4 linked regions of the Caenorhabditis elegans genome follow. The protein of the gene in region 2 purifies or fractionates together with the protein of the main gene of each other region. This does not show direct contact. Each region holds a gene or a part of one and is shown on either strand. Other genes may lie near its edges. The genes, in order: enol-1, ipgm-1, D1022.4 and sams-1.

Region 1 (5,062 bases), on a different chromosome or scaffold from region 2:
CTATTTAGCAGAACAGGAGAACTGAAAAATGCCGACGAAACGAAACGAAAACAAATCAATGAAATGCATTGATTATATTTTCGAAACATAAGACATAAAAATGAGCGATAATTCTCGAATTTTCAGTTGGTTTGAAATCAGACCCACTTCGTAAATGACATGGCACGAAATGTGTGACAAAAGAAATGATGAAAATGTATTTCAGAACTTTTGGCGCGTACGCGTTCGCGCGATGGTAGTTTTCGTCGCGGGACCCTGAGCCAAATTAACGCGTGCTCCTTTAACAGATACCGTAGTTAGAAAAAAACAAAAACCGAATTAAATAACCAGATGTTTGTTTTCGTTAAAATTTTCATGTCCAATCTTCATATTACAAGTACAATAAATAATCTACAATGGAATCAACTTTAAACTGGTCAAGCACTAAAATAGGGTAAAAAGGTGACTACATAAAAAGGGAGGGCAATTTTGAGAAGAAAGTACGAAAATACACAGTATTTATAGGTTAGATTGAGTGATCTACACTTGTGGGTTTCTGAAGTTGTGTCCAGCGTAAACAGCATCAGCTCCGAGTTCCTCTTCGATGCGGAGAAGCTGGTTGTACTTGGCCAAACGCTCAGAACGGCATGGAGCACCAGTCTTGATTTGTCCAGTGGCAAGTCCAACAACGAGATCAGCGATAAAAGTGTCTTCAGTCTCTCCGGATCTGTGAGAGACCATAACTCCCCATCCATTGGCACGGGAGAGCTTGGCTGCTTCGATTGACTCTGTGACGGATCCGATTTGATTAACCTGAAAAGAAACTTATGTATGAAGCAGAATAAGAAAATAACCAACCTTGAGAAGGAGGCAGTTACATGACTTCTTGTCGATGGCAGTTTGAATTCTCTTTGGATTGGTTACAGTCAAATCGTCTCCGACAAGCTGAATGGAAGTGGCACCGTGGAATTTGCCCCAGTTATCCCAATCATCCTGATCGAAAGCATCCTCAATAGAGACAACTGGATACTCCTTGATGAAAGATTGGTAGAGCTCGGTCAGTTGCTCTCCAGAGAGCCACTTGGAGGAGTCTGAAGCTGGGTTTTTGAAATCCAAATCGTACTTTCCGTCCTTGAAGAATTCCGATGCTGCGACATCCATTCCAATGGAAATCTTTCCAGTGTATCCAGCCTTGTCGATGGCAGTGTTGAGAAGGTCAAGTCCTTCCTTGTTGTCTTGAATATTTGGAGCGAAACCTCCTTCATCTCCAACAGCGGTGGCATCGAGTCCATATCTCTTCTTAATTTCAGCCTTCAAGTGGTGGTAGACTTCTGATCCCATGCGCATGGCTTCAGCGAAGCTGGAAGCTCCAACTGGAAGAATCATGAATTCTTGCATAGCGAGCTTGTTTCCAGCGTGAGATCCACCATTGATGACGTTGAAGGCTGGAACAGGGAGCACAACCTTTCCAGTTCCTGCAAGCTCGGCGATGTACTTGTAGAGTGGGAGTCCCTTGTGTACGGCTCCAGCCTTGGCGACAGCAAGTGAAACTCCGAGAATGGCGTTAGCTCCGAGGTTTCCCTTGTTTTCCGATCCATCCAAAGCCATCATGAAGTCGTCAATGTCCTTCTGTGCAGTGACATCGAATCCCTTGGCGATCAGAGCTGGAGCGATCTTCTCGTTGATGTTCGAGACGGCCTTGAGAACCCCCTTTCCGAGGTGAACAGCCTTGTCACCGTCACGAAGCTCGAGGGCCTCATGAACTCCAGTAGAAGCTCCAGATGGAACTGCGGCACGGAAGACTCCTGGAAACAAGAAATGATGTGATTTCGGAATTGCGTCATAATGTTGAAATATACTTCATGAAATTTCAGATTTGAATAAAACAAGATTAATCTTATTTTATTCAAATCTAGATTGGTTTTTCAAGTTTTGATAGAATTTATACAATGCTCGCTTACCTTTCTCAGTGAAAAGATCAACCTCAACAGTTGGGTTTCCGCGGGAGTCGTAGATTTGGCGAGCGTGGATCTTGGTGATTGGCATCCTGCAAAATGAACTATATGTTTTCAATAATCAAACAAGTATATAAAACTACGTGAGAAACGGGCACTAGTAAACAAAACAACTGAAAAGATAAAATGTTTGAGGCGAGAAGGGGTAAAGGAGTGCGAGAAGAAAAAGGCGGCGCCGTCAATAGACGGCGCAGAAAGTGGAAAGAGTGACGAAGGTCGCACGGAGGACACGAGACTCAGAGAAAATGCAGCTGGTTAGATGTGTTTGTGAGCGGCCCGAGAGCGCACGTTCAATAGAATCGCACGGACAGCCTCTTTTTCGTGGCAGTGAATAAAATTCGTTTGTAGATCTCAAAGAGACGCAGTTAAGATTCGAACTGAAGTTACAAAAAAAAGGCATTGCAGATTCACTAAGTTCTTGAACACTTCTAGATATTGAGAATTATGATTAAATTCGTCATGCCGAGAAGAAAAGAGGAGCCAATGCCTTGGGCTCGAAAACAAGTGAGGGGCCAAGGACGCCAGCAACTGCCGCTGGGGAGAAGCGACGACTTGAGCGGCTGCCTTTCGCCTAAATACGTGACTTACACGAAGTTTCAGATTGGCAAAGCATGCACTTCAGATTGGATTTGAGAAGCGAGTTACCAAATGTTTTTTATGTTCAGTGGTCAGTTTTAGAAGTGAGAAGAAGTGATAAGGTCTGATATGAGAAGAAATTGTTGATTCGGAAAATTTGCAAAACATTTCGGAAAAAACTTATTTTTGAAGAGAAACACAACTATTTTCTTTCTAACTAAAACACCTCAAAGCTTGCGTGTTGAATTTAAAGAAAAACGTTAGTTTGCACACACTATTGTTCAAAACCATTGAACAAGTCAAAATGAAACATAAAAGAAAAGTAAACATCAGTCAACGTTTTGGAAAAAAGGCACGGCAGACCCCATTACCCTGATTCAGCAGCCAAAATTTTGCAGATTGCGTGTGGAAGTCGCGGGAGCATGAAATCAACTGGCGGAAAATAAAGAAAAAGAGATAACCAAAACCTTTGTCCAGACAGATTGCTTTTCGAAGGCTGCCCGCCACCTCGAATGAGCGAAGTGAGCGAGTGAGCTGCCGAGGTGAATGGAACAAACATTTTAAATCAAAAACTGAAATAACTTGCGTAGAGCAAAACTTTAGAGGAAGATCAAAACGTGAAGAGGTCAAAAATATTTTTTTCAACGTCAATTTTATTTACAACAATAAAAATCGATAGATCAAACAAAAAGAAAATAGGTCTAAAAATACTAAATATGAAACTCTAATACAAAAATGAACCAAATTATTTTTTATTGTCGAATCCTAGTGAATTGCTTTGTTTTTAGGTTGTATCGTTTATCAGTGTATTTGTCCATTTGATTAGCAACTTCTGGATCCCATGGCATATTCTTGTCAGGACGAGTGTAATCAAATGTCTGAAAAATGCCGATTTTAAGTCAGCACTGAAACTTTAAAAATTACCTGATCATCATAATCGAACCATTCTTTTTTCGGTTGGAACTGTCGAAGTAGACGTTTCTGTCTCAGAGAGAGAACTTCACCACCTGATCCTGGGAATGCAGTGATTCCACCATGATACATGTGAGTGTCTTCAGGATGGAAACGTGCAGCATGCTCCATAATCGAGACGTTTTTCGGTTTGTTCTCATCGCGAGCCATTCTATAATTTATTTTAATTAATAATTCAATAAGCATCTTTAAACAAAAACTAACTCTGTATATTTTGTTACATTTTTGACAGGCGTCTGATAAAATTCGACGACGTCTGCCACTGTTTCCAAATGAAGAAGTTTTCCATTGGTTGGCCAATGTTCGATGGATTTTCCCAGCCTGTTCAACAACTCGAACTTTACAGAGTTATCTCCTTCCACAAATTTGTACTGATCCACGTTTTCAGACTTTACTCCAGCACTTCTTAGACATGATGACGCTGCTTCAAGTACTTGGTTTTTGACATCAACGCCGGGAACATAGTTTTGCGTGTATTTGAGAAAACCTCTGGCCCGGATGGCATCCGTGTCGATACGGCTCATCGTCAACAGATCATCGTCAAATTCAGTGACAGAATCAGCTGAAGCAGTAACTTGTGTGGATTCTCTAGCACGGATGCTGGGAAGCGTCTTGCGAAGGCTCTCCTGTTCTTCCAGTGTCAGCTGCTTTACTGCTTCCTTTTCCCCGGATTTTCCAAACATTCCTTTCAACAAGTTACCTTGCGATCGGACAAGCCTCGGAAAACTCCTGTGCATCTTTTGGCAGTTCTAAATTTTTTCTTTTAAGCTTTTTCTTTTCTCTTTAATCAGAAATATAAAAAATCAGATAAAAACTGGAATAAAATACATTTCAAATATTGTACCTTTTGTAAATCGCACTCCATTCATTTTAAAAGGAAAACAAATCAACAAGCAAAAACACGCGGTATTCTCGAATATTAAATTGAAAACGGGGGCATATAAAAACGGTAGGCAGAAGCAACAGAAAGTGTATCAAATTCCATCAAAAATAAGAATGAAGGGGACGAAAAAAAACGAGATACGATTGTGTTGAAGCACTCGATTAAAAGCTGAAAAAGGGAGAATAAAGTTGAAGATCTTTTAACAGTCTGGCGAACAATTTGATTAGCATGGTCGGTTATCTTGAGCACGGGCACGTGGAGCTGCCTTGATGATATCGTCGACGCGAAGAATTTGTTCCGTGGCTTCAGCGGCGGAAGAAACCATGCACAACTTCACATTGTAAGACTCAATAACGCCCAATTTCGTAACATCAGCAACCTCTCCTTTCTCGATGTCTGAAAGATAATTTTGTATAATGGTTAGATTTCCAAATGAACAAACCGATTCCCATATTGTGACGTCCATTGGCGTGCTCTGCACGGAGTCTTGTGACAAGTTCAGCCGAGTCAAGTCCAGCATTGTCGCAAATGATGGTTGGCAATTGAGCAAGGGCTCTTCCGAAGGCTTCAACGGCAAGGGCTTCCTTACCCGCAACCTTTTGAGCTTCGACGGCGATGGCTGAACTCATCAAAATTT
Region 2 (5,203 bases):
AAGTCAACGAAAAATAGAATTTCACCTAGTAATTTCGATTTTTCTCAATAAAACTGGGTTCGTGGCACAAATAGGTCATTTTAACTGAGTGATGCTAAAAAACGATAAGGAAAAGGCGAGGTTTCTGGAGTTTTCAAACGAAAGTGACATCAAAATGCTAGCAACATTTTCTCCAAAGAATTTTCGAGAAACTATAATGAAAAATGTCACACAGAGAGAGCATTAGAAGAAACGATAAGATACTAAATCAAGAGAGTTTGAGAAATTAAGAGACGCAGAGAAAACCAATGGTTTTTCTCAGTTCGTCCCAGTAAAAGTCCGATCAAATCAATCTTTTGCGAGCCGTCAGAGTGCTCCGCAGATGTGCTCAGTGTGTCTATTGGCCAAATGTCACCATCAATTGACCCTTCAAAAATGTTGAGCAACTGACTACAGAGCTCATTCCGGAGCAAGAAAAAAAACATAAATAGCAAATAGAATATGAGTCATCCGACAGGTCATAGTAATGAATGAAATATTTTCTCAGTGCAATATAATTTTATTCATACTAATTTAAGGATCTAAATACATAAAAATTTTCAGACTATAAACAGAATTGAATAGTAGGTAATTGGGAAGAAATTGGACAAAAGAATACTGTAGAAAATATAGTTCATAGAACTTGAATATTGAAATCATTGTACTTGAATCTAGATCTTCTGAACAATCGAGACCCCAGTCATTTCAGCTGGTTGAGGGAGTCCCATAATAGCGAGAACTGTTGGAGCAACATCACAAAGGGCCGGATGACGGTCGGCTGGCTGTAAACGTGTGAAGTGAATAGCTATTTACACCCGTTTGTAAATTAATATTTTCATTTAACATATGGGTTTCTGTTTTTTTTTAAATAAAAATTTCAAACGTTTGACAAAAACTCACATCGACAAATTTGAATCCTGGATGGCTCAAAGTGAGTGGAACACGGTAACATGTGTGAGCAGTGTGTTTTCCACCATCTGGAGCCTTCATCTTTTCAGCATTTCCGTGATCAGCAGTAACCATAAGTGAGTATCCGTGCTTTTGAGTTGCTTCATAGATTCTTCCGATTGCGATATCAGTAGCTTCACAGGCCTTGACAGCAGCTTCATAGACTCCCGTATGCCCGACCATATCTGGTGGAGCAAAGTTGCACATAATGAATGGATGAGTTCCAGCCTCGAGTTGTTCAATCATTTTGTCAGCAACGCCGGCCGCAGACATTTCTGGTTGAAGATCGTAAGTTGCGACCTGGAAATATTCAATTTTCGAAGTTATATCATCAAAGTATTACCTTTGGACTGGGCACTAAACACCTTTCTTCTCCCTCAAATTGTTTTTCAAGTCCTCCATTGAAGAAAAATGTAACGTGAGCGTATTTTTCGGTTTCCGCACAATGAAATTGCGAAACTTTTTGCTCGGCGAGCCACTCAGCCAATACATTTTTGTTCGATGCTGGCGGGAACAGCGATTTGAATGGGAACTCGGCTTTGTATTGAGTCATTCCATATACTTGAAGATTTGATGGATGAGCTAACTTCGAATTGCAATCCTTGTAACGATCCATTCCCATTGCTGCAGAAATCTCACGCATACGATCAGCACGGTAGTCGAAGAAGATGATTGTATCGTCATTTTGAACACGTCCTTTCTCTCCTTGAAGAATGATTGGCTTCAAGAATTCGTCTGTTTCATCAGCAGCGTAACGCTTGCGAACAACTTCAACAACCTGGAAAATGATAATTTTAGATATTATTTAAACTTGCTGAAATTAGAATTCGAATTTCTCTCGGAAACATTTTTAATTGAAATGAATTTGAATTTTTGTTGATTTAAAGTGAAAAGTTTGCATCTTGGTATATCATACATTGTACGGAAGAAAACTACTTTATATTTAGTAAATGATTTTTGATACCTAGAAAATTATAATTAAACGAAATCCAAAACTGTTCATTCTTCGTCTTTTGAATTGTTAATCAGTTTATACGCTAAAATCATACCCCAGCCTCATCGGAAGTCTCTCCAACACCTCCAATCATTGCCTCGTATGCAACATTGATACGCTCCCATCTGTTATCGCGATCCATAGCATAGTAGCGGCCAACTACAGTAGCTAGTTTTCCATATCTGAAAATATTTTTAAACATGTTTCCTAATGGGGTTATTCAAGTAATGTAGCGAAATGTATTTAAATATATTTGTGACGTCACAAATGTATTTAAATACATGTTTTTATATACTTGAATACAGTTGTGGCGTAATTTTTCTACACTTTTTAATTTTCCGACACTACTTGAATAACCCCATAAATTATCACATTATTCTAACCCAGTAGTTTTCTCCAAGAACTCGAGGGTTTGTTCAAGGAATCCAACTCCACTGTTTGGAGAAGTATCACGACCATCTCCGTAGAAATGAAGGTAAAGTTCTGGAACTCCGAGCTCTTTGATGGCCTTAACCAAAGCAAACATGTGATCTGAAATGAGAAAAATCATAAATTGAAAATAAATAAATGAATATTACCAATATGAGAATGAACACCTCCGTCAGAAACAAGTCCGGCCAGATGAAGACGTCCATTTCCGTTTTTAGCACGATCGCAAGCATCCACCAAGCTCTCATTAGTCACCTAAAATTTACGAAATATAATATTCTGAAATAATATTGGAAGCATACAAATTTGTTGTTCTTGACTGCCAGATTAATACGAACAATGTCTTGATAGATAACACGTCCGGCTCCGATGTTCAAATGTCCGACTTCCGAATTTCCCATCAATCCTTCTGGGAGACCAACATGAAGACCATGTGCCTCAATTTGAGCCCAATTGCCTGGAAAAATGTTCTTGGGTTAACAATTTTGAAATAAATAAAATCTTACCCGAACACAGCTTGTCCATAACTGGTGTCTGTGCGTTGAGAATAGCGTTACCGTAAGGATCTTCAGAAACTCCCCATCCATCAATAACGATGAGACAGACCTTATTGGCCACCGAACTGTTATTTGCCATCGCCATTCCTGAAAAATATCGGAATATGATGCAAATTGAAAAATTTTTGAGTTTAAAGGCGAAAACTATTAGCTGTTATAGGGGGATTGTGATTTCTCGCACAAAATATAAAAAGAATAAAAATACTAGATGATGCTTGTGAAGGAATTTCTTTCAAATATATTCGGAGCAAAACTTTTAAATGTAACCTCCATTAAAATTAAAACATTAGCAATCAATTAATATAAAAATAGGTATTAGAAAGAAAAAAGGACAATTAAAAAAAAGGCAAAACAAAATGACGAGATTATGAAAAATGGAATTAAATCAAAACTGTTGATTCGTTATCAAATAAGAAGTTTGATCATCGATCAATTTTGTTTCGAGAAATTTAAAATATAACCAGTGAGAAAAAAATTAAAAAAGAGAACAACAAGAATCCAAAAACCGCTCACCGCGTCGTCCGAAATATTGCCGATAAATTTGAGCGCCCAGGGCTACGAACATCTCTATTTCTCTCCGTCTCTTCTGTCAAGCACTATTTCATTGACTTATTGAAATGTTGAAAGAAATGAGAATAAAATTGAGAAACGTTTTCTGTGTGAGATTTTTGCACGTAAACAACTCTTCTATCACGTATCTCTAACATTTCTCTCATTTCTCAAGAAATTCTCAATTTCTCGTGCTCTCTTCTTGAAGGATTTTCTAGATGTTTGGAGCCGCGCTAAACTATTGATTCGAAACTGAACAAGAAAAAAAACAGAATTGACCCAAAATAGAAGTGTTTGAAAGCGGAGACGCAGAGAGCTGCACGAAAAATGATGCAAAAGTGAAGTATTGAAATTGAAAAGTTTTAGCGAGCGAAATCAAAAAAGTGTATCTTTATTGAGTTTAGTGTCCAAATAAAACCCTTTTTCTCGCACCGCCCGTCTTTTTCAGCGAGACAACGACCACAGACAAATGAAAACTATTGAAACAAGTAAATACATACAAACTTTTGTAATTTCTCAAGTACTCTTCTTTTCTAACATGCATGTTGACATGTAAAATTCTTCTTTTCTAACATGCATGTTAACATGTAAAATAAATTTTATAACAGTTATTTTTCCTGAAATTCGACGGTTTAATAAATATTTACAGGACTTAAACATTTAAATTGATTTTTAAAGATAAATTTAATTAGCATTTTGACAGTGACAGCAATAATATTGAAATATTAAAGAACAATGATTTATAACTTATAACAGATCACAAACAATAGGAACATGATGGAATAGTACAAGATTACGCGAAAATTCCGTATAAGAGGAACACAAAAAAGTATGAATTAAATTAGAATGTAGAAAGTTTTAGTCGTCACCATCCCAAATCGTTTGATCTAGACCGCCATCATCTGGAGCAACCAAATCCTGAAAACAATAAATGTTTCATGAATATTCCATTAAGAGACACAAACCTCATCATCCATGGATTCGTTTTCCTCAGATCCTTGTGAGAAGCCAGCTTCACTTTCAGCTACGTAGCTGTTGCCAGAGCCTGAAAATAGTTGCAAATTGTCAAGCTTATTCAGAATTCAAGAACCACTTTTATCATCTGCAACTGATTCCTCTTTTTTGCCAGATATTTTTGAAGAACTCTTCTTAATTTGCTCTGCAGCTCTTTTTGCTTTTTGTCTGTTATCGAATTCTGCCACATGCGCAGTCATGGAAAACTCAACGTCGTTAAGTTTTTCGTCGGTGCCTGTTGGATTGAAGAAATCATTGAGCATAGATTCATCCTGAGTGGTTCCAGATAGGATCGACTCTTCCGATGTTGCCGATATACTTGCAGCCGGATCGTGGCGTTTAGATGAAACACTCGCCGGGCGGTTAACTTCAGAGGGACCTGAAGTAATCAGAATTTTTCGTACTGTAAAAATTATTATTACGGCCGTAATTATGGGAAATGTGTTCCATTTCGCTTTCTCGGCGAACATTATCAGGCAATTTATCCATGTTTTTCTTGGCCTGCATTGTATCATACTTCTCCATATGAGCAATCATTGAAAACTGTGGACGCATTGAAGTTTGTTCTTTGCTAACCGGAGAATTAAAGAATGCATTCAATCCAGACTCATCCTGTGTTGTGCCTGTATCGTCATCGAATGTTGAATCTTCAGAAGTAGCAGATTCATTTAGCTCCGATGTAATCTTCCGAATA
Region 3 (3,179 bases), on a different chromosome or scaffold from region 2:
TGAGATGTCTGTGCATCTAATTCCTTTTCCATAAATATCAGCAACAAGAGCTACATATCCATGTTCTTCAGCCAATAATTTTGCCCTTGCAATTTCCAGTTTGGACACTCCTCGGAATGCAGGGAAAATCAAAACGCCGGGATGTTTAGTAGAGTTATCGGAGCTGAAAACATTGAATTATAGTTTCAAACTTTTCAAAAATCTTAAAATATCAATTATCAATTATCACAGACATCGGATATAACTTGAAAACTCTTATTTGTTGAAATCAATTTAGATCTATTTTAGATATACATAGTGTTCAACGGTTTCATTTAACAAGTAAACAATCAAATAATAACCTTGGTTTATACAGCTCTCCTGAAAATAAATTGCCATCCGCATCTTCATAATCAATAGTTTGATGAATCGACATAGCTTTCAATTCGGAAAAAAGCTATGAAATCTGAACTTTAAAATTTATAGAATCAGAAAAAGTTCTGCAAAAAATGACAAAATGATCATAATAAATACTTTTATACATTTACTTATCATATTTATTTCAAACAGGTTTGTTACGACGGAGAGATAGAAAAGTCACAAAATTTTGTGATCGTAGTGTACAGTACAACATTAGAAGATTTCTTTGAACAAGTCGAGAGTTGCATTCCATGATCTTTTTGCAGCCTTCTCATTGTAACCAATTCCTGGTGCATTGAAACTGTCAGCTTCTGGCTCAGTGAAAGCATGAACTGCATTTGCATGCGATACAAAGACAAAATCAGCTTGACGAGTTCTCATTTCTTCATGAAATCCATCAACTTGATCTTTTGCAATATGGAAGTCTGCGTCTCCGTGATGAACATACACAGTTGTTCCAACAATTGGATCTAGAGCAATATCAGGAATTGGTTTCAAAGTTCCATGATAGGATACAACTCCTTTGAGTCCAGCATTGTATCTTGCCAAATCGAGAACACAAAGCCCACCGAAACAATATCCGATTGCTGCAATTTTTGAGGTGTCCACTTCAGAGAAAGTCTTCAAAGTATTGACAGCGGCAAAAAGTCTTGGTTTCAGTTTCTCAACGCGATTGGAAACAAGCGGTCCCATTGTTGCAAATGCATCTGCTCGTTCAGTTGGTCTCACACCTTTTCCATAGACATCAGCAACAAAAGCAACGAATCCAAGCTAAAATTTGGTCTTTTTTTTTAAATCAGCATATTCCTGAGAATGCAGCTGTTATAGTTTTCCTGATTTTGTAAAACCTACTAAATATAGACTTTAAAGTAACCTCGGCAATTTGTTGGCCTTTGTCCTTTTCGAAATGCGTAATTCCTCGGAAAGCTGGGAAAATCAGTACGGCGGGAACTTTTGACTGTTTTACATTCCTACAAAAATAAATAAAAAATGAAAATAAAAAATAAAAAACAAACTTTGGAATATAAAGAACTCCTTCAAAGTTATTACCTTCCTCATCAGAATAATCAATAAGTTTCGTGGTAACGGTCATCTCGAAAAGAAGAAAACTAACAAGAGTTATCTAAGACGGTCAATATATATGTATACCTTTTGGGGTTTGACGTTGTCTGCGTATCGTCTCTATTACCATTATAACTGCTATATTTATGACCTTTCGTTTTTTTCTCTCTGGGTCTCTACGTTTCATTAGTGCGTAGCAAACATAGTTTCGGGAAAGTTCACAAACCAAAAAGTTGTCACAAAAATGATCAATATAAACTACATCTCTATTAAGACTTTAAACTGTGTTCAAAGCCATAAAAACTGAGCCAAAATTTTGAAGTTATCTGAATCTGATTAAAAATAACAAATATTTTTCTTTCTCTTTCATGAAAATTTATATAAATTTAAATAATGCATATAATATGAGATTTAAAATATTTCTTTAAATAAAGCCAAAGCAGATGCCCATGATCGATCCGCAGCTTTTTTGTTATATTTAACTCCGGGAAGTCCGAAAGAATCAGCATCTGAAAAATAAAAATATATCGTAAAGTTATTCGTAAACTATTTCTACCTGGCTCTGTGAATCCATGTTCAGCATGTGCATGACTGGAAAACACAAAATCCGCATTTCGAGTTCTCATCTCCACGTGGAATCCATCGACTTGTTCTTTTGGAATATGAGCATCCGAATCTCCATGATGAACCTGGACAGCTGTTTCAATAATCTTATCAAGTGGAGCATCAGGTATTGGAGTCAGTGTGCCATGAAATGAAATGGCTGCTTTCAGTCCAACATTGTACCTGGCTAGATCAAGCGCACATAGGCCTCCAAAACAAAATCCAAGTGCTCCAATTTTATTAACATCTACACACTGAACAGCCTTTATGGCATCAAATGCCGCGACTATTACACACTTTAATAGTTTACTCCTCTCAATTATCATTGGGCGTACAATTGCAAAACATTCTGCTTTGTCTTTTGGATGAATTCCCTTTCCAAATGGATCAGCTGCCAATGCGATGTAGCCCTCCTGAGCAAGAGCCTTCGCTTTTTCTTTTTCAAATTCGGTGATTCCGCGGAATGCAGGGAACACAAGGACACCGGGAAGTTTTCTCATTCTAGTTGTTCTGGAATAAATAACAAGTTTGGTTTGATAATTAGTTAAACCAGTCTGATACTATGTTGATGTCAAATGTTACCATTCTAATCATCAATCAGATTTCGTATGCTAAGTAAATTTAATATTGCATAACATTTATCGAAAATTTACAACATAGATTCAAATTTTTAATTTGTTTAAAATCCCTAATTTCAATAAAGTTGAGGCAATCGTTTGTCACAAAAAAACACCACACAACAGAAAGTCAACAAATGCAAACCTATCCGACTGGTGGAAGGAAAAACAATCTAATCCGCACACACTTTTATTATTCATGCTAAAATTCAATCTTCCGGCAAAATTCACATAAACTTTAAATTTATACAAACCTTGGAACATAAAGATCTCCTTCGTACACTTTTCCATTGGAATCTGTGTATTGAAGTTGACTATGAGTAACAGACATCTTGCCTTCGCGACACCAATAAAACAACTTTCACTTTTGTTGTTTCAACTACTTTTATAAGAAATTTCCTGAATTTTGTGTTTCTCTAGGCTCTCCAAATCTCTCCGATGAGCACAAAATAAGGACACATTATTTTGTGACCAACTTCACCATACATCCAAAAACTG
Region 4 (6,374 bases), on a different chromosome or scaffold from region 2:
GTTGATCCATGTGTATCTTTTTCAAAATATAACCTGAAATGGAGGCGACAATTGTCTACAGCGACTTGTGAACGTTTGGAAAACGTTATTGAAATTGAACTGTCCGACGAAGATTCATAACTGCCATAAAATATGATCTAAATTTTAATATTTATGTAATAATTGTATCAAATTTGCTCTATTAAGCATGCACTTCATTGCTGAACTTTGGAATTTAATATTATCAGTTAATACAGTTTTACATATACAGTTTTAAAATAGTGCACTACGAATAGAGCAAACCAGATGTGTGACAAATATTATTTAGTTATGTTGATGTATTTATAGTCATTATGAATTTATTTAATGTGCATTTATATAATACATCGAATAGAAAAAAGTTTTGAATGAAATTGTGTGAATTCTAAAGCTTGTAAACGTTTGGAGACAGTATTACAATAATAAGTGGCAATAGTGAAGCGCCAGGCAATAGTGAAGCGCCAGACTGTACGTTTGGCTAAAATGTCATGTTTCAAATTTCCTCACCTGAGCATTTTTGTCGTTGCCGGTTTATTCATCCAAACGGTTAACATTTTGTACAGAAAAGCAAAAAAACATGAGTCTTCAGGTGTAACAGAGAGCATAATATGATCTTATCGATGGGAAAGTGAACTATGTCTGTGTTAAAATTGAAAGAAGAAAATATTGCATTTGTCACGTAGCCATCGAGTTATTTTAGACGTGATAGATTAAGAAACAAAGTGAATGCATTCATAAAGTTCGGATTCTCGCTCTGAAATAAAGAGTAAATTTATTATTTGCATTTTTCAAATTAAAATCAAAGGATTTTAAATATTCGATGTTTTGTTCTAATCATGAACAATAGTAAGAAGAAAAAACGTGAATTTATCATTTAATACTGATAATCTCACCTGTTGATGATCATTCTGGATTGCGAGGTGTCTTTAAAGATATTTAAGTATTTGAAAACTCCGCTGACTCTTTTCAAGCAGAGAGTCAGTCGAAATGAACAAAAGCAAAGTTTTGAAATCAGTTTGCCTCTTTGTATAGATTTGTGAAAATAGTGAGATTATTCTCATTCCTTACTTGTAATACTATTTTTGAGCTCTTTTTGTGTCTGCGTCTATGGTGTCAGGTGATATCCCATAATTATTAGCTTCGAGAAAAATAGAAAAGGAAAACACCACTAGAGAGGTTTTGACGAAAATAGAATGTATTATTAAAGCTGGTTTTTTTTCGAGATTTCGTATTTAGATATTTTCGCTAAATAGATTTTCCTGAATTAGTGTGACGTGGATATGATGAATCGAGAGATATTATGCAAGCTTTGTGGAATTTGTGGAAAGCAATCACGATGTATTCTCAGCACTAGATACAAAATGAAGTTATCATGATTAATTCATATTGGAATTGCTTTTTGTTGTTTGGAAAACAAAAACACTTCAAGAAGAATGCGAAAAGTATATATTTTGAAAACATTGTAATTATTTAAATTGAACAACGTTCAACGTTTTAGAATTAAGTTTAACAACAATGAACAAATAAATCTCCAAAAAAGTTAAATTTTTTAATTTAAAAGTTAATTTTTTTGGCAGAATTTTAATGTTATTTTTAAAAACGAGCAAATTAGTCGAAATTGAATAAAACTCTTACATGCAAATTAAATTTGAAGTATTGAGTGTAAACAACTTCAATAACTTTTTGTGCGGAACGAAACCTATTCACAAAAATACTTACTGCATCTCTTTCGGTCTGATGTTGAAAAATTACGGACCAATTATCACTATTCTTGAAATCTGCCGAAAACTGGAAAAGTTTCTATAATGTGGCAAAAGTACGTAATAAGTTAGAATCAAGTATTTAAAAAAGTATATTAATATCTTAGTAACACCGTTCAAATTTTCTGGCAGCTAATTAAGTTACCAGGTTATTGCCATGAAATTTTTTGTCGAGATGCTGAACCGAAAAATGGTTGCATCAGGAAATTATGTAATTGTGGTTTGGCATTAAACGATATCTCTCTAGGGCGTATTTTGAGTTTCCATGAAGCAGTTGAGCTTCAAGTTTTCAAACATACGATAATGTTTTCTTTTCATGATGTCGAAAGTTTTTTTTTTCTGTAAATTACATTTTATCAAGTTTTTTGTCTCATTTGGTCTTTGTGTCAATTTCACCTTCTTGGTTATCTTTATCAATGCGGGAGCGTTTTACGACTCACCCAGTCTTATCTTGCAGAAAATCTTTTTTCTTTATCATCCTTAGAATGTTTGATGTTTCTTATTTTCAACACAAATTTCGAAAAATTTATATTTTAAAACTTTATTTCCCAAAGTTAAATGTCAAGCATAATTATGAATGGAAATAAGCAATTCAGTGAACTACCACCGAAGGATTATTACAATTTAACAAAATATGTATTAATTATAACCAAAGATTTGATGGTGCTTAAAAATCGTACGATACCACTCAGTTGGTGGCAGTTGAGACATTGAGCAATGAGGAAGTTATGAGAAAGGATATTTAATACTATGTAATTGGAGAAAATATGTTTCGGGCATTAGAAACTGTCAAGAACTATTTTTTTGCGTTGTGATGTTTTTTTTTAATATGAATTTTTTGAAAATGAAGCTATTCTAAAAGTCAAGACAGCTCAGCGGGTAGCGGAAACCGGGGACTTAAAAAAGAGAAGGCACTGTTGAAAAATGCTCTGAAGAGTGCACATCATCAGTGAACAGGAAGGGACAGAAAATTGGGGGATCGCATCAGAGTAAGAGGCTGGTGGGGGAGGAAAGGGAAAAGGTCAAAATACGTTAATCGTTTTTTTTTAAATACGGCGAGGTGTTGGTCATCTAGCTGAATTGAAAATGTAATTAGTTGCCTAAACTTAATTTAATACTCTAACTTGTTTTTTTTTTCAGTTTTTTCAAGGGGTCTATCCACAAAATCGGACTAATTTAAACTATTGGTGCCTAGCATACAATAAAACGAGATTGATTATTTAAAAAATAAGTTTTGCATACCGAGGCAAAAAAATTAGTGAGCGATAGCAGATGTGGCTGGGATTGGGTTTCCCTTGGCCTTCTCGAGAAGTGCTGGAGAAATCTTGAGAGCTTTTGGCTGCTCCCATGGGAACTCAGAGTGACCGAAGTGACCGTTCTCGGCGGTCTTCTCGTAGATTGGTCTCTTGAGGTCGAGCTCCCTGTAAAAAACCAATGAAATTTCTCCTATCTAGCTGTATTCACTTACTTGATAATTTTTCCTGGGGTAAGATCGAAGGAGTCTTCGACGATCTGGTGAAGCTCTTCGTCGGTGAGTGGGGAAGTTCCGAAAGCATAGACCAAAACTGAGATTGGCTTGGCGATTCCAATAGCGTAGGAAAGTTGGACGAGGACGCGCTTAGCAAGTCCAGCCTTGACCAATGAGGTGGCTACCCAACGGGCAGCGTAGGCAGCAGAGCGATCGACCTTGGTTGGGTCCTTTCCAGAGAAAGCACCTCCTCCGTGAGCTCCCCATCCTCCGTAGGTGTCGACGATGATCTTACGTCCGGTGACTCCTGCGTCTCCCATTGGTCCTCCAACGATGAAGGTTCCGCATGGGTTGATGTGGAAGACAGTAGACTCGTCCAAAAGAGAAGCTGGGATGACCTTCTTGATAACATCAGCGAGGATGGTCTCGCGGAGTTTCTCAAGAGTAACATCTGGAGAGTGTTGGGTAGAGACCACAACAGTGTGAACGCGGAGTGGAATGGTTGCTCCGTGGCGGGACTCGTACTCAATGGTGACTTGAGACTTGGAGTCTGGGCGGACCCATGGAAGAGTTCCGTTACGGCGGAGCTTGTGAAGCTCAGCGTTGATCTTGTGGGAAAGAATGAGAGTCAATGGCATGGTCTCTTCGGTCTCGTCGGTTGCATATCCGAACATGATTCCTTGATCTCCTGCTCCGACATCTTCTCCGTCCTTGTTGACGTGAACTCCGGCAGCAATTTCTGGAGATTGTTGCTCAAGAGCAACAAGCACGTTGCAGGTCTTGTGGTCGAATCCTGAACAAAAACATTGAAACAAGCTAATAATAAAGCAAGATTCTATAAACTAACCAATGCTGGAGTCGGTGAATCCAATCTTTTCGATGACACGACGGACGAGAACTTGATAGTCAACAACAGCCTTGGAGGTAATTTCTCCGCAGAGCATAACCATACCAGTTTTTGTTACGGTCTCGCAAGCAACCTTTGCATTTGGATCTTGCTTAAGATGAGCATCGAGAACGGCGTCAGAAATCTAAAAAAAACAGAAATAGATAAAATTAAATAAATAAAACAAAAAAAACTTACTTGATCGCACATTTTGTCTGGATGCCCCTCGGACACAGATTCACTGGTGAAAAGGAATTTGGAGGACATTTCTGAGTTTTAAGACTGAGAAGCGATTTAGAATGGCTTGTTCGCACAGTCGGACACTGCCCTTATAAAGAACCCAGCGATATTCGAAGGCGGAGTCACACAGACAACCCAGTTTTTATCTCTGCGTCGTCCGTACTCTCGCAAGTCCTATCTTTTTTGACTGTTTCACCACTTTGATGTTATCTTTCTCGAGAGGCAAATGAGAGGAAATGGCGACAAAGAGCGATCAGGATTGGATAGGTGGAGGGTTGTGGTGACAAGAATAGCATGGTGATTAACATTTCGTGATTATGATCCACGTTTAGTTGGTGTCAGCGGTCTAGTCAATTTTTCCTTTATCACTCCGAAATCTCTTACCACACTTGAATTATGCTAGGATGTTTGGTTCTTCTGTAAAATATTTCGCTTTTTAAAAGTTGCCCTAAGTTTCAATTTTTAAAGAATGTGCATAGTACAGGAGTGTCGAATATTCTGACTAAACTCAAATTTTCGACAGGTTTTACAGTTCATCTTTAAGAGCTTTATGTAAATTTAATAACTTTATAATTCTGGCTGTCTTGTAAAATCACATTTTTTCTACGTGATCTTTGTTCAAATCGGTCATATATACATATGTTATTTTTTCAATAGATGTAGGTACACTATTTGATAAAAACGGCAACGTGAGTTACCCACGTGGTTTTCTTCAACTGGTTTTATGGCGGGATTGGTCAATTTCAAGGTTTTGTAGAGAAGAATAACATTTAGGGATTTTTAATTACATTGAAAATCGGTACTTGTGTATTTTTTCACATTTTAAGAATTAAATGTTATTTTCATTAATTGAATCAATTAAATGAAATGCGATACACATTTTTTTAAAGGTTTAGAAACTAAGTTTTTCTAATCCTGGAATACAATGTATTCCGCACGTTTTTTTTTTTCAAAAGTTCAAGTTTTTTAGTGGAGTTATAATACACAAATTCCGAAAATTCTTATATGAACTGTGAGTTTTCACTATTTTAGTTTAATGGTATGAAAGAAAAATGTGAGAACTATAAATGCTTTTCTTGTAATTATCATGATAGAACTATTGGTCAAAAATGCTGGAATTTTTGAGAATGACTAGAAACACATCATTCTTTCGTCAGTTCCCACAGACAATATCTTCTTTATCTCATTATAGAAAAAAAAACTTGGTCATCGTTGCAAGCATGACATAGAAAGATCACAATTTGATCTAATATCAGTCAATTACTATCGTTCAATTTCCATGAAAAAGTAATGTCTTGTAGCATGCCTGAGTCTATCATGCCATTACCCTCATCGGTTTCCCTCTAACTGATAACCACCGTTTGAACTACCATTTTGGATGAACCGCAACGATTTTTATTTTGATAAGAACCTCGAATTTTCTATTAACTTTTTTAGGGGATCTGCAAAAAAAAACGCTACATTCTTTGTTTTGGTATTTTGAACTTTGTTTTCTTTTTGGTGAACTATTTACTATTTTTGAGATGATTTAACAGATTGATCTACCATTTTTGTCTTACAGTCTTTTCTTTGCTCTTAATTTTTCGCAGAAGACAATTGTTGTGGATGTCAACTAATTTTATGTTTTATTTGTGTTTCAAGACTGAACAGCAACACAGTTTTAAAAATCACAAATTTCTCTTTTTTCAATTTTTTTGAATATTTTTGACTCATTTTGCATTTTTTAAACTCTTCTACACCCCAAAATTCTCTGAAGTTTTACACACCCGTGTGCTAGAGTCGACTAAAACTGTTTTCTAATATTAATTACATTCGGATATTTTCTGACAACATGATTTTCAAATTACAGTAGAGCTAGTTTAATTTTTGACAAAGTCTGTAGCTTCTACAAATTCATTTTGAAACCTTGTTCATGCTCACTCGAAGCAAAAAATTTTCAAAATTTATTAGATGTGCTATCATTTATGTTTTCCCATGTTCAGTTCAAAATACAAAAAGCGGT

The links.
Region 1: the proteins of ipgm-1 (region 2) and enol-1 fractionate together in Caenorhabditis elegans (co-fractionation; one large-scale study listed by BioGRID). This does not show direct contact.
Region 3: the proteins of ipgm-1 (region 2) and D1022.4 fractionate together in Caenorhabditis elegans (co-fractionation; one large-scale study listed by BioGRID). This does not show direct contact.
Region 4: the proteins of ipgm-1 (region 2) and sams-1 fractionate together in Caenorhabditis elegans (co-fractionation; one large-scale study listed by BioGRID). This does not show direct contact.

What each region holds. Positions count from the first base shown.
Region 1 is NC_003280.10:8,929,070-8,934,131, reverse strand, and holds enol-1 (Enolase), read right to left. Parts: upstream 3,130-5,062; coding exon 3,038-3,129; intron 2,027-3,037; coding exon 1,941-2,026; intron 1,785-1,940; coding exon 838-1,784; intron 793-837; coding exon 520-792; downstream 1-519. Other genes in the region: mrpl-50 (Large ribosomal subunit protein mL50), read right to left, coding at 3,323-3,448, 3,495-3,693, 3,747-4,279; cct-2 (T-complex protein 1 subunit beta), read right to left, coding at 4,649-4,821, 4,868-5,062.
Region 2 is NC_003279.8:6,567,917-6,573,119, reverse strand, and holds ipgm-1 (2,3-bisphosphoglycerate-independent phosphoglycerate mutase), read right to left. Parts: upstream 3,564-5,203; 5' UTR 3,512-3,563; coding exon 3,460-3,511; intron 3,034-3,459; coding exon 2,896-3,033; intron 2,847-2,895; coding exon 2,692-2,846; intron 2,645-2,691; coding exon 2,539-2,644; intron 2,492-2,538; coding exon 2,344-2,491; intron 2,143-2,343; coding exon 2,016-2,142; intron 1,745-2,015; coding exon 1,310-1,744; intron 1,267-1,309; coding exon 919-1,266; intron 801-918; coding exon 690-800; 3' UTR 524-689; downstream 1-523. Other genes in the region: syp-6 (Thyroid receptor-interacting protein 11), read right to left, coding at 4,354-4,413, 4,461-4,540, 4,586-4,888, 4,932-5,203. UniProt on the Caenorhabditis elegans protein: Catalyzes the interconversion of 2-phosphoglycerate and 3-phosphoglycerate.
Region 3 is NC_003280.10:7,455,795-7,458,973, forward strand, and holds D1022.4 (Dienelactone hydrolase domain-containing protein), read right to left. Parts: upstream 1,499-3,179; 5' UTR 1,493-1,498; coding exon 1,416-1,492; intron 1,371-1,415; coding exon 1,274-1,370; intron 1,171-1,273; coding exon 613-1,170; 3' UTR 520-612; downstream 1-519. Other genes in the region: D1022.3 (Dienelactone hydrolase domain-containing protein), read right to left, coding at 1-163, 342-415; D1022.5 (Dienelactone hydrolase domain-containing protein), read right to left, coding at 1,873-1,970, 2,018-2,574, 2,936-3,012.
Region 4 is NC_003284.9:11,964,053-11,970,426, reverse strand, and holds sams-1 (putative S-adenosylmethionine synthase 1), read right to left. Parts: upstream 4,466-6,374; 5' UTR 4,400-4,465; coding exon 4,331-4,399; intron 4,278-4,330; coding exon 4,094-4,277; intron 4,040-4,093; coding exon 3,247-4,039; intron 3,200-3,246; coding exon 3,034-3,199; 3' UTR 3,021-3,033; intron 773-3,020; 3' UTR 534-772; downstream 1-533. Other genes in the region: Histone-lysine N-methyltransferase set-6, read left to right, coding at 1-120. UniProt on the Caenorhabditis elegans protein: Catalyzes the formation of S-adenosylmethionine (SAM) from methionine and ATP.